Styela clava: one gene and its partner. The protein of the gene in region 1 interacts with the protein of each later gene in a biochemical or structural test. Links are inferred from orthologs where the notes say so. Each region holds a gene or a part of one and is shown in the gene's direction. Other genes may lie near its edges.

The links. The genes of interacting proteins can lie anywhere in the genome.
Region 2: the proteins of cytochrome c oxidase subunit 4 isoform 1, mitochondrial-like (region 1) and cytochrome c-like form a complex in vitro, tested with the Homo sapiens proteins (4 studies listed by BioGRID). The link is inferred for Styela clava from reciprocal best matches to the Homo sapiens genes COX4I2 and CYCS.

The regions. Positions count from the first base shown.
Region 1 is NC_135251.1:27,351,968-27,358,241, reverse strand, and holds cytochrome c oxidase subunit 4 isoform 1, mitochondrial-like, read left to right. Parts: upstream 1-4,830; 5' UTR 4,831-4,898; coding exon 4,899-5,423; 3' UTR 5,424-5,669; downstream 5,670-6,274. Other genes in the region: uncharacterized protein LOC120335673, read left to right, coding at 5,750-5,828. UniProt on the Homo sapiens protein: Component of the cytochrome c oxidase, the last enzyme in the mitochondrial electron transport chain which drives oxidative phosphorylation.
Region 2 is NC_135262.1:1,983,822-1,991,498, forward strand, and holds the start of cytochrome c-like, read left to right. Parts: upstream 1-4,622; 5' UTR 4,623-4,674; coding exon 4,675-4,786; intron 4,787-5,646; coding exon 5,647-5,727; intron 5,728-6,213; coding exon 6,214-6,276; intron 6,277-6,954; coding exon 6,955-7,037; 3' UTR 7,038-7,677. UniProt on the Homo sapiens protein: Electron carrier protein. The oxidized form of the cytochrome c heme group can accept an electron from the heme group of the cytochrome c1 subunit of cytochrome reductase.

The DNA.
Region 1 (6,274 bases):
AGATCAGTAAAAAAACAAATGACAGATTTTTTCGACAAGACATTTCGCACTACATTGCGTGGCATAGGATTGCTTGAATTATTATTGATATTGATTTTTAGTAACTAAGTCGTTGTATAATTATATTAATATACAAACACATGGAAATTTTCTGTTCGAAGTTGGTCTTCGAATTTGTCATATTGACTGCTGAGCTTATTGTGTTTTTTGATTGTATTGATGGAAATATGACAAATTAAACAATGTGCTTCAGAATTTTGTGAAGAGCAGAAATGTTACAACTCCCATTTTCTTCGAAAATGCCACCTTCTTCATGTACTTTGCGTTTAATTTAATTACTCAAGTGTTTTATTCAAGTATTCTTTTGCTAGCTTGATGTGTATTCTTAATTGGGTCAAAATGTGGACAAAAAAAATCAATATTCCAAAACTACTTTCAGTAAATTGTTTTCTGTGTGAATACAATTATTGTTAAACGTTCGAGGGCCGCACTGGAAGTTCTCTGGGGCCGCGAGTTTGAGATCCCTGGCCTAGATTGAAGTTGTTCAAAAAATATATGATAGTATTTTATCATGAATCATGATTATACCCCTTCCGGAATTTCTTCTATGGTACTACCAAAAGTTGATGAACCAAATATAACACAGGTGCAGTGAGGTACCCGTAATCCTCATTTCCAAAGCTGTTTTAAGTATGTCTGGCGTGTTTTGTGCCTTTTTACAAATAAGACCGCTTATGCAATCTTACGCTTTGGAATTTTTAGTTATTTTCCTCAAGCCCTGCAGGATGTGGGGGCCATACACAACTCTACCGGAGGGTCAAATGTCTTTGCATGCCTCCATAGGTTGTTTTTCTATTGCAATTTTCTATTTTCAAATGCATTATATTTCTTGGAATCACACTGTCACTGATATGTCGCCAGACTTCTGATATCTCCCCGTCTGCTATAGTTTTCCTGTGAATAAATAATAGGAAATTGAGATTAGACGAATAGTTGAAAGTTTTGCTTTATGTCGGCTTAATTTCTTGATTGATATACTTACTATTTCTGCTATTGCCTCTTGTGCTGCAAGAGTCTCACAATGCTTAGACAGGTTTGTCCACAACTTTCACATCTGAAGAAAGAGAGGAGATTTATTAATTTTCGTTAAGAATAAATAAAGCAGTCTATATGATTCAGAATGGAAAAGCTAATAAATCCAATATCTCATGTTTTATTTAAAAAATATTTTACTGGATTTGGTATATAAACCAACTAATAAAAGGGTTTAGTCAGAAAATTACAAGCATTCGTGGCTCCAAATACTTGGGAAATCAGACTATACAATATAGACCGGTATGAGTGAAATGTTAGGTGAACTTGTTAACACTTTGATTCAATACGCAAATAAAAGTGAATGCGTAATAGTATGTTACAATGAGCAGCAATCAACAATGAGTATATATCCTCAATGATTAAAAAAATCTAACTGGAGGTGCATGAACTATTTGAAACCATAAGGGGTAAGTAAATATGTAATTTCGGCAAATGGGCAACTACGTACCGTACTGAATTAATAACTTCGTAGTATTTGACAAAGGCTGGCTTTCCCACATGTACTTAACAGTGCGATGCCCGGGTGTGATATACAACAATAGTATTCACCTTACCTTTTACCGATTTCTTTTTACCCAACTTTCAAAAATATCATTAAAATCGACAACAACTGTCAAAGCATGCACGAACACCATTCGTGCTACGCCTTGAAAACAGCACACATCCGCTCGTTTTCGTCTCGTCAAGTATGTGCATTGGAGCGTGCTATGGAATACCATCTTCGGACAAAAATGCCGGAGTTGCGCATCATGTTGTTTAATGTCATTGATATACCTAATTAACGATTAGAAGATCGATCAATTTGGCAATGGCAACCATTACAAAAATATCAATATGGTGTGGCAGATAATTTTCTTTTCTAGTATTTATTTATTTATTTTTTTGTTTACTGTATAGTATACCCTAAATTTATCGCGTTTCATTCTTACTTAAATAACTTCTCAGTGGTTGTGTGTGTGTGTGGCTGGTGGGTGCATGTGAGCGTGTGTGAAATAACTTGATAATTTTAGGTGAGTAAACACGTACCACTTCCTCTTGGCAAAACCTTTCATCTTATATTTTGTACGTTGTAAACCTTATCTAAGGTTTTGTTTGCTTCCCTGATTTCATAATCAGATTTTATTTATTTGTTTTTATCTGTCAAATGTATTGTTATGCTGATTATGGAGTCGAAATAAACTTATACTTATATACGTCGTAGGGTGATCACATGGTAGGTGACCGGATTCCTCGACCATCAATTCCATGCATCTGAAAAACAAATAAATGGCTAATTAATCCTATGACCGACATGGACTGGTAACCGAATGAGTGTCCGTGGTTCGTCGTATATCGACTTTCTTCTCTCGTGGGATAAATTTGTATTAACCGCAGTCCAACTCTCGCGTATTCAGACTCCGTGCACTACCGAGTCACGTAAGGCCATTTACAAGGTTAGTTCCCTTTTAAATTTCCAGAAAGTTCAGTCTTATTTCTTCTGCTGCGTCTATTATGTGGTTTATATCGGTGCAGAACCCGTGAAATGAGCTACGTAACCTTCTACCAGCCGCGTACTGTAATTTGCAAATAGATGTATGCAGCAGTAGCACCGGCAACCGACCTGGTGGTACGATCTTTCGGGTGTTGCGTGCCTCATTGGCAGCCCATGTTTTTTTTTAGGTTTTTAGAAGTATAAGTTTATTTCGACTCCATAATCAGCAATAGACGATAAAAAAATAGATAAAAGTAAAAGTAACTGATTATAGAATCGGGAAAGCGAACAAAACCTAGAGTAAGGTTTGAAACGTACAGATTTTAGATGGAAAGGTATTGATAAAAGAAGTAGTACGTGTTCGCTCACCCAAAAGTAAAAAAAAAACTAATTAAGGCACGCACGCACACACACACACACAATCATCGAGACATGATACTGTCGGAAGCGAAAAAAGCGAGACTTAAAAGTGAAAAGGAAGGAAAATATATTCTACAAACAAATAAAAAAAAATGAATAAATTCTTTTGCCACACCAAATTAATAATTTTATGAGGATTGCCAAATTGGATACCGAATTAGTCAACAAGAGTAATGTATTGTGGATAGAAAAGTATTCCTCAAAAGATATCGTCAAGCTGATTATAATTCAGTAATTGGAGTCACCTAATGCCAAATTGCCCAATCAGAATTGCCAAGTTGGATGTATGAAGAGGTGGGCTAGGCCTGCTTCACTCATCAAATAAAAGCCACAACAAGCCAAATAACGTCCAAATTATTTTAAATAATATTAATCAATAACAGTACCGGGGGTCTTACTACTTACTGAATACAGCGCGAAACACCGCAAAGAACGCGAAACAGCGCAAAACAGATGAAAACAGCGCGAAACAGAAGGAAACCAGCGCAAAACGACTCATCGGAGTCGGCACAGCCCTATCTATGAGTACCGTACCTGAGCTATCTAATAACATCTTGCGTGGGCCAGGCTTAAGCTATTTTTTTTATTATAAAACTTGTATTTTTTTGAAAGTTGTAAATCACTGCAGTATTGACAGACTGACATAATAATAACGTAATAATAAAATTATTTGAGTGTATAATACTCTATTATATCTAATCCAATCTACTCTATCCAATACCTGTGAATCTTATGCATAACAGTGAATATGGGGGGAGCTGACTTGGATGACCGTATGGTCGTATCGCTCCCTCCAGTCTTTACCATAAACAAGAGTTTATTTATTTGTATTTAAGCTTTTATATTTGTTTTGGTTGACGAATCAATAAATCTCTCTCTCTCTCTCTCTCTAATAATGCCTAATAATTTGAACCTTAAATACAAACTCTAGCTCAGCGAGGTTTATTGAACCCCCATCTTTTGAAATTTCAGGAGGACTGAAAAAGCTGCTAATAAAGTGTAAACTATATTTCCGCAAATTCTCCCTATCTCGGAAGACTTCAATAATTATTTATTTTCTCGTTCGGAACTTTGCGAAAGTGGGAAAAAAATGTTAACTTAATATGTGATCATTGCTACTAGACGCTAATCAAAATCTAAAAAGTGAATTCGCAACTCAAATTTCTGACCGAAAAAAAAAGTGTACCATTCAAATATCTATTCCTAATTCTCACACTCGTCTCCCTAATTATGATGATATATGAGCTATGAAATGATTGTAAATATAGTATTCAATAATTCATTTTTGTAAACTATGCTCGCAGACCTTGGTATTTTTCTAACAGCCATATTTTGAAAAAAATCATAGTACCAGTGTTAAAACAACAGCTCAGCTAAAAAAAAAGAATCAAATCCTGTTATAGTCCGGCAGTTTATCACTATTTTTATGTACGAGGGTTGCCATGGTATTATAGAGCATTAATATAATACTTTTATTTTGTCGATATAATGGTGAGTTAGGTTCAACCAACACAATTAAATTAATATGGCTATACATTTTAAATGCATTTTAATTAGATGTGTGGGTCATGGATTGAATATTTTGAGCAACAAAAAATCCATTTTCACTGATAAAGTCAGCTATCTCGACCAGTGGCCTGAATATAGACATGTCATATTTTTGCGAAAAGTTGTGGGGAGGTGCAACCTTTTCTGTTAAATCGGGATTCAGTTAGTCAAGTTTTCTGAATTACAAATTGAGTCAAATTTATTTAACCTGTAACATTCAAAGCTTTTGCTTCCTTTGGACTGGTTTACCTTTTTTGTCTATATTTGTCAATTGGATATCAAGACCTCTAATAATGATGCTTAATATTATTAGTTTTTCAATTGAACAGTTTTGTAGCACAGGTAATATAATAGGAATACAACCATGGCATCCCATCTACTTCGTGTGACAGCTTCCCGCCTGGTTGCAAGAAGACTTCTCAGCACTTCACAACCTGTGCGAGTCGCTGGTCCAGCAATGACAGATGATCCTAATGTCAATGTATATTTCCGTGAAGACATGATCAATCCTTTACCCCTGAAGCCTAGACTTTGGTGCACAACCCCAGAATTGAAGGCTTTGAAGGCAAAAGAAGCTGGAAATTGGAAAAATTTGACAGAAGAAGATATGAAACAACTCTATGATGCGTATTTCGGTATGAGAATCTCTGACATGGAAAGACCAACCGACAACTGGAAGAGCTATGTTGGTGTTCTTTTCTACATTGCTGGTTTCACTCTCTTCCTTCATCTCTTTATTCATGTATACATCAACCCTCCCTACGTGTCTACCGTAACAGATCAAGAATGGATAAACGCGTCGATCAAGAAAATGATTCAGCAACATCAAGGAGATGTCACTGGGTATTCCTCCAAATGGGATTACGAAAACAACACATGGAAGAAATAAACATTTTTGTTTCAAAAACTTTCAGACCAGTGTGCTTGTATTAATTGGATTTATTAGTAATATTAAATAAATTTCCATTGCATTCAATTTGATTAGTGATATTTGTAACTTACATTGGCTTATTGATTTCATGCTGTTGAATAATCTATTATATTTATCTTATTTTGGTCTAACTAAATTACAATTGCTATTTGCTGGTTACTAATGTTACAATATTTTAATCCAATTGTGTTTGATGTATTTAGACATCTTAGTCTTAGTGTATGCCATTTGATATATTTGTATAGAGTTTTTCATATAATTGAGTCTTCAACAAACCAAACAACATGAGTGGAAAACTGACGGTCAATAAAATTACAAACTGTTCTGATCTTACTATCAAGATGGACAAAGCCACAATAGTTGGTAAGTATATGAGAAACATTAGGTCTTTTTACTCATGAGACCTTATCTCTGATATTTTTAAATATTAATAATAGGCTCTTACACCGAGTGAAATATATATTGTTTATTTATTTGTTTACTTAAACCCTTTATATTATTATATAATTTTCTAATGTAATCCCTTCAAGATTGTGTTACGAAAAATACTAGATATAACCATCAATTTAGTTTTTATCATAAACCAAATTATTTTCAGATGTGAGTCAAGGTTAGTCATAGCAATGCTCTCATTTGAAACACTAGAATATTGGGCAAAAACATAGTAATTCAGACAGCATGATTTGGTTGAATGATCATACAAGGTGGGGTAAAAATTCCCACATTTTAATTTGATTTAAACTGGCGGAACGCGGTCTGAATCTGGACATTTCGAGTATTCGATTCGGACTGCACCAAATTCTTTATTT
Region 2 (7,677 bases), on another chromosome or scaffold:
CGTTAGGTCCTGGGATTACAGCACTTGTTTTAAAAACATTGTTTCCCGCCTGTATGCGAGTGAGTGAGAGCAAAACGATGTCTACACTTCGCGACCCCTAAAATTCGTCGCTCGACCTCTCGCCCCCCAGTTTGGGAAACCCTGATTTAGATATCTCAGTATTCAGACTGAATCACGCTTAAAACAATATCGGTATACAATCTTACACCCATTAGTGCATATTAGCAACCTATTAATAACCCCATTATTTTTTAATAGCAGTTTATGAAACTGAAGTTTCTTTTTTGATTCAAATTTACAACTTAAAAAACAATTCCTTCATTTATGAATGGTGCAGAAATTTTCGCACAAAAAATTTTGCTATTCACTGTAAAATTTTAAATAAATTGGAGCAGATTTTGTAGAAAAATGTAATTTAACAGTCAAAAAAGTACAACAGAGGAAGATCTATTGCTGCTAAGCGAATTGTTCGTCTAACGCTAGCCTACAATGGGAATATCCAATAAGGGTATAGGGTACTCCTGAAGTATGCGCACCGAGATGTCGCATAACCTGAACCTTAACCTGGTACACAACCTGAGTTCAGGTTGTGCGCCATCTTGGTGCGCATACTTCAGGAGGTCCGGGTATAGATATGACTAAATAAATTGTCATACATATACTTGGGACGATTTTACAAAACTGAACCTGAGTAAATGATTTTCCTGTAGCCAGCCTATACTGCAACACGCGATACCTAATTCTAATAAAAAAGAAATATTGAAAATGAAGGGTGGGTTTTCAAGGTAGATGAACCACTAAATACATATTTGCCATCTCATATGCAAAAATACTGCACCTTGTTTTCACTCAGATTCTTCATATTTTTAAGCTCCCCAGTAATGAAAGTGTTTCATCAAATTTAACTGTTCCACAATATTATTTTGATTTGTGGTTCATCTTGTGAAATATGTATGTGGCAAAATGTTTGCGACCAGCCGGGCTTTCAGATTTATGCTTGCGGCCCTCGTGGTAATTTGAGTTGTGCATGCCTGGTCTTGTGCATACATCCCTTCTTCCGTATTGATAATTACTAACTGGTTTATATTGCTTTTACGAGACGAATAAACATACATACATGGGAACGGGAGCCACTCGTCCAGTTACCAGTACATATCGGGGATGGGATTAATTAACCAGTTAATTGTTTTAGACGACTTTGGCGGGGGAGAAAGTCGTGACTACGTGTTGAAGATTTATTAAAACTTGGGATTTATACTCTGATGTTTTTATCTTTATATATCAACTCCTTAGTTGCTTTGACGAAGTATTTGCGAATAATAATACTCGAAATAGAATAAATCGCGATAATTTTGTTATTGTTTTTGAAACATTTATTGTAATTTTATTAGCCGTATGTATGTATGTTTATTCGTCTCGTAATAGTGATATTATTAGTTCATTATTGCTGTTTGATTAAGTTATATCTTGTATTGTATGAAGAAGTTAGGCCATGATCTAACGAAAGCTCACAAATATACTTACTATTCCGTTGAAAGAGATCATGTTATTTTTACCTATTATTATTTAAGACGGAATGCCTGCACAAGACCTACTGGCCTAAAACACAAATGTGCGGCATGCACCCCTTTTGACAAATATGAAACAAATAACGTTAGATTAAATATGTATAATATTGTCCCTTATATAGACAGTTGCCTTCGTGCATTAAGGACATTCTACTCTTTAGACATTATTTTTCATATACAAATGGTGGGGCTCCCGAAGTATGCGAACCAAGATGGCGGACATCGGAATGTAATATGTGTACTAGGTTAAGCCATAATTTTAGGTATAAATACTACGGGAGGCTCTTAGATAGTCTTCGAACTGATAATAGGACTAAAATAAGGAAAATTGGAAAAAAATTATCGCCTAACCCTAACCAGTTACCCATGTTACGTTCCGATGCCCGCCATCTTGGTTCGTATACTTCGGGAGCACCCAAATGGTGCCATAGAAGATGAGAAAATAATTGCAGAGATAAAAAAAAATACCTCCGATTGAATAACAATGTCATCATGGAGGCAACAAACCTCCATTATTCGGGAAACGAGTTCCAACCACAGATCTGTTCTCTTCTTGCTGCATAATTTTATTGTTTATTACCTTTATATGGTTCCCTCGTTGGATCATCGATTATGCAAACTAGATCATTCAATAAATACTAAACTTATCATGCTGAGACATGGTGACAATAAAATCTATTCTCTCAAGCGCTAAAGAAATTACCCCGACCTTTGATCCCCGAAATATTCTTCCAATACTTTATCATTGCAAAAATTTTGGGGCTATTTTAGGAGCGCTTTTGCGAGTTAGCGCCTGTAAAATGGGGTATGTGTTTCAAACCATCATTATGATTCATCGCATACAACAATCTGTTTTTTAAAAGTACCGGTAAATAATTTCAGGCTAGTCTATCACAGATATTTCTACACCATTTTTTTATTACTACAATTAAATTAAAACTCCTAGGAAGACATTGAATTATTTGATTTATATTCAAGTTTCCGAAACACAACTGAAAACTAACGAATAGAGTTCAAAAACGCGAAAACGAAGTAATGTTTACGACCATGCTTGAAAATCTGTCTGAGTGAGAAAAGTGTCTGAGCGGATGCGAAAAGGGAGCATTGTTACGTCACTTTTTGCATCTTGTTTATTGGCCAATGTTACGAAGTAAACAAGGAAGTGGATGTTCGGATGGAAATAAGTGGATGCAAATAACATGCCTAATTAACAATACGTGGCGAAAATATTAAAATACACAGTAATTATTATCCTTATGTAATCGCTACCGTTCCAATCCAAGACTACGCCATCGTTAAACTTGTAATCACATTATTCTACGACGTCCAAAAGACAAAAGTTCTTTACCTCACATGATTTCCTTTGCGCAATACTGTTGATGACGTGTAGTCTTGCGACACGAATGAATCAGAAGTGACGTCGTCGTCTGACGAAACTGATACGCAAAACGAAGCGCAGGGTTAAAGTCAGCCCAGCATTCATACATCAAAATTGTCAAATAAACAATTACATTCGAATTGAAAAATCCTATTAAAGGGTTACAACATTAAAATAAAAAATTTTCAGAATTGTTCGAGCAAAATACCCAAGCACTGACTTATTTTCAAGATAAAAATTGTAAAAAAACATGCAGTTTTGAGCTCTGTAAGGCATTCTTACTACTATGCCGGGCCAGGCGTATTGTACGCATGCGCCGCATTGCGCAACTCGTTTGCGGTAGGTTACCTTGAAAAGTACGAACAATGTCACAGATGAAAGACTCGCTGTAGACACTTTTCGCGAGGCAAAAGGGCGGTTTCAAGTGTTGAATTCGCGCAATACTATTCGCGATATACCTTTCACACTTCCATCTGTGTTAATAAATTAATCGTCTTCAGCTGGCAACTGGTCTATACATAAGCAGAACCGCAACTGAGTGGGCGTCATTATTTCCTTGTGACGAAATAGTAGTCGTATGAAAGTCAACTATGATGAAATAATATGTTTAAATGTGATGTCACAATTATGGAAATAAATTATTTAATTTATGTTTGAGAACGTAAACATCAAGGATTAGAATTTTGTGTTGTTGCTGTGATAGACATTAAATTACTGAATTCTTAATTTATATGGTCAGATAGCAGGATAGGGAACGATATAATCATAATACTACATTAGAGAATACGGGAGTGAGGCATAAAAGTAAGCATATGACTTTGTTTCTATTAGTTATTTCAGTAATCAGATATGCTTATTTGGGTTATCATATTCCAGTATTCAGTTAGCTCTTTCTGTCTTTAGCTGTATAAAAATATGGAGGAATTTGTAAGTCTTAAGTCATCTCTCAAACAAAGATAATGAAGTTAGGCTTTTCCAAAACCACTTTTATCCAATCCTGGTCTTCTTTACTATTTGTCTAGCCTAATGTTTTTTTACCAAATTGCTGCCAGTAAAACCAAGACTTTCTCTATATTAATGTGTTTATTTTACTTGAATACAGTACCTACTATTGCTAGACTTGCTACACTCACACAAAATCATTTTGTGTAGTTGTTATGCTAGTACTAGATTTTCTTTTATATCAGTACCGGTATTTAACGTTAACATATTCATAGCTATTATAATTCAGACAATATAAGACAACTAAACTATTGCAGTATTCAGGCATTGCACCGGGGCTGCCTCTGGAATGGTTCATTGAAGTTCGCTCCGGGCTACCCTAAAATGCGGGAACTACGAGAAATGCAGTGAAATGACGGGAACTACGGGAAATCGCCAATACTAAAATGCGGGGATGACTGAAACTACGGGAAATTTCACAAAAAGCGGGGATGACAGGAAATCATTCCCTTAGTTCCTGCATTGGCATTTTCCTGTGGTTCCCGCATTTTAGTGCATTTCCCGACGTTCCCTGTCCCGCATTTTGGGGCTGCCCGCTCGCTCCAACTAAAAGATTGGAAAATACTGGTCTAGCCATATATATCCTTCTAAATTACACCACATATAACAAAAGACGAGACTTTCAATATTTCACTGTATTCATTTCAGTTATTATTTTTTATTTCTACCTGTAGCAGTGACTGCAGTAGCTCTTTCTTCATTAAATTAAATTCAAAACAGAAAAATATGGGCAAAAAAGGAGGAGACTCGACACCAAACCCAGAAAACGGAAAGAAGATTTTTGTTCAGAAATGCGCGCAATGTCACACTGTTGAAAATGGTGGAAAACATAAGACCGGTAAGCCTTGATTGCGTCTAGTAGACTTCAGTACAATTCTGCCCTCAACATTTATCTTACTTCTGGCTTTTCTTAGTATTTGATGTTCGCCTTTTTTTCTTCCATTATAATTTAATGTTGGACTTCCTCATAGGTGACGCTGCTAGATAACCATTACTGGTTTATCGCGTCACCTTTCACACTAAAATTCATTTTTTTTATCTTTTTTTAATATGTTTGTACAATGTGTACTTTCGGCACATGTAAAATAAACTACTGACTGACCAAATTATCGGTCCATTGCTAATCAAAATAATCGTATTATACTATGAAAGAATTTGCTCAAAGCAAGTTCATAAGCATTCACTCGTAAGCAAATAAGACTTGATATCTAAGCAAAGTTTTCGTATGGCCACTCATCTATAAGTGCTACTGTTACTAACTTGTTTCTGCTGAAGTTAATTGAAGTCGAATTGTACTAAACTTGACTAGACTCGTCTTTTTAACTGTATTTGATTCTAACCTGACATTAGGAAAAAGTGTATCATAACTATTGCCAATTACAGCGTGTATGAGAGTAATTATACAACACGTGTTATTATAAGTTTCATGTTAGAATTGGATAGACAATTGCTTGCGACACTCCGACTCCAGTTTTTCAAAGATCTCATGATGGTAAAAACGGAAATAAGTCAAAAAGCACTTTTGCCGATATAAGTTACTGCTTCTTACTTAAAAACATCTAGTCTGATGTTCCTCCTACAAACCCTCTTTTCAACTTCAATGACGACCATTCAATTGGTGATTGAGTCTTGAGTCTACACGAGTAAAAACATCTAATTTACCGAAAACTTAATAAAAACATGTTTATGTTTTATTAGGTCCCAATCTCAGTGGTCTTATTGGAAGAAAGACTGGACAAGCACCAGGATTCACTTACACTCAAGCTAACAAAGATAAAGGTGATTGTTGTTGGATTAGAAACATACAGAATAAAAACCTTTCATGGCTCACGGCCCTCTTCTGGAGACTTTAAGGCCTCATGGCTCCCGCTGATATACAATGATGGCAGGGAAAAATTGAATTGGGAATATTTAGTAAATTAATTATTCTTGAAAAAGAAAATTGTTGATTTTGAAAGCAATCAGATATCTTTCCATTTGAAAAGGTTATTTTGAGAAAGATGCGGTCTTCTTAGTGAAGCGGTATTGCATGTCAAATATCACATTTCAATTGCGAAAAGAGGCCTGTTTATTTATTTGTGTTAGTTGTAGGAAAATGATCAAAACTGTCGGAAACACCTTGGTCCTCTCAAAAACATGGTTCTCATATATCAGTGCCATAACCTTACTCTAAGTAAAAATGGGAAATAAATAATTGGAGGTAACAGTACTTTTAATCTGCAACTGTTTATTGAATAATCGTTATTTAATTTTTATTTTTTACAGGTATTACATGGGGTCCAGACACATTAGAAATCTACCTGACAAATCCCAAGAAATATATTCCAGGTACGCTGATATTTATAGTAAAGTAATGCAATAGTGTATTGGATCACCAAGAGCTGTATTTGTCTATGTGACTGTTGATAATGAATAACAATTAATTTAAATACTAATTAATTCAAAACTTTCAAGAGGATTGATGCTGCTATATAAGAGACGAAACAAGTTGGTACTGTGAGGAAAACGCTCCATACATCTGGTACTGTTATCTGTTTCCATACCCAACTACGACCCGGTGTCCAGATAAGAGGCAGTTGTCCAATTCACCATTATTAAGGTCATTTGAAAAATTTGAAACTTTGTCACCCAGTCTGAGCATATCCCGATACTATGCTAGTGAGATCTTAAAACCAGAGTTCGGCTTTTCACTTCTCCCTAGGTAAATATGCCACCTTTGTACCTCTTTCCTCTATCTAAATATGCAGTCTAAAAATGTAACTCGCAGATCTGAAAGAAATCCAAAGACAGTTTTATCAGCTTCCTCTCCCCCCTGGCTAATTGTGTCATTCACAGATTGTAAACCTAGGAGAAATTCTAAAGTCTTTTCAGCTTTCCCTGGCCAAATTCACTTATATAACCTGACACAAACCTAAGTAGGTGTTATCTACCCCAATCCTGCTCTCCTCTGCCCCAATATTGATATGAAAAGCCTTATCCTTACGCATAATAACTTGTATTTTTCAGGAACGAAAATGGTTTTCGCTGGAATTAAGAAGAAACAAGAAAGATCCGATTTAATCGCGTACCTTACTGAATCCACCAAATAGTAGAATTTTTGCACAATTTTTAGAAGTTAGGAAATATAGTAATAATAAATTTAATGTTTGGTAAATAGAGAGAAATTGAATTTTGCTTGTTCTTTCATTCGAATAATTTGGTATTTTCTAGTTAAATTGTTAAACTTTCTGTAATCTAATATATCCATTTTGGGTCACGATTGTAAAATGTTAAAGTAACAATATTTGATTGAATTATCGAAATATATGTTTCAAAAAGCATTGATTTCAATTTTTCACACCCTAAATTCTTTTACCTGTAGTTAATTTGGTCAATAAATGTCTTCTACTAATAAAATATGATATTGTGACTAGGTGTTGCTTTGGTTTCAATTGCTAAATCTTTATTGCTGATGAAATCGATGTATTCCAGTTCTCGGAAGTAAATTTTAATTTTGATGCTTTTTTCATGCTGAACCTTGCTGCCGCCCCCCTGTCAAGAAATGGCCATTCTGTGCGAATTTCTCACAGATTTCAATGGCGTATTTTCCGTTTTCTTCCTCGGAAAAATCAGCCAGTTGGGCCATTTCTTGCCGGTCTTTTCATTATATTATTTATTGCTTGTATAGGTTTTGCTGTGCTGTCGAAATTAAATTAAATTGCAAACAATAATTACTTATTTATTGATACA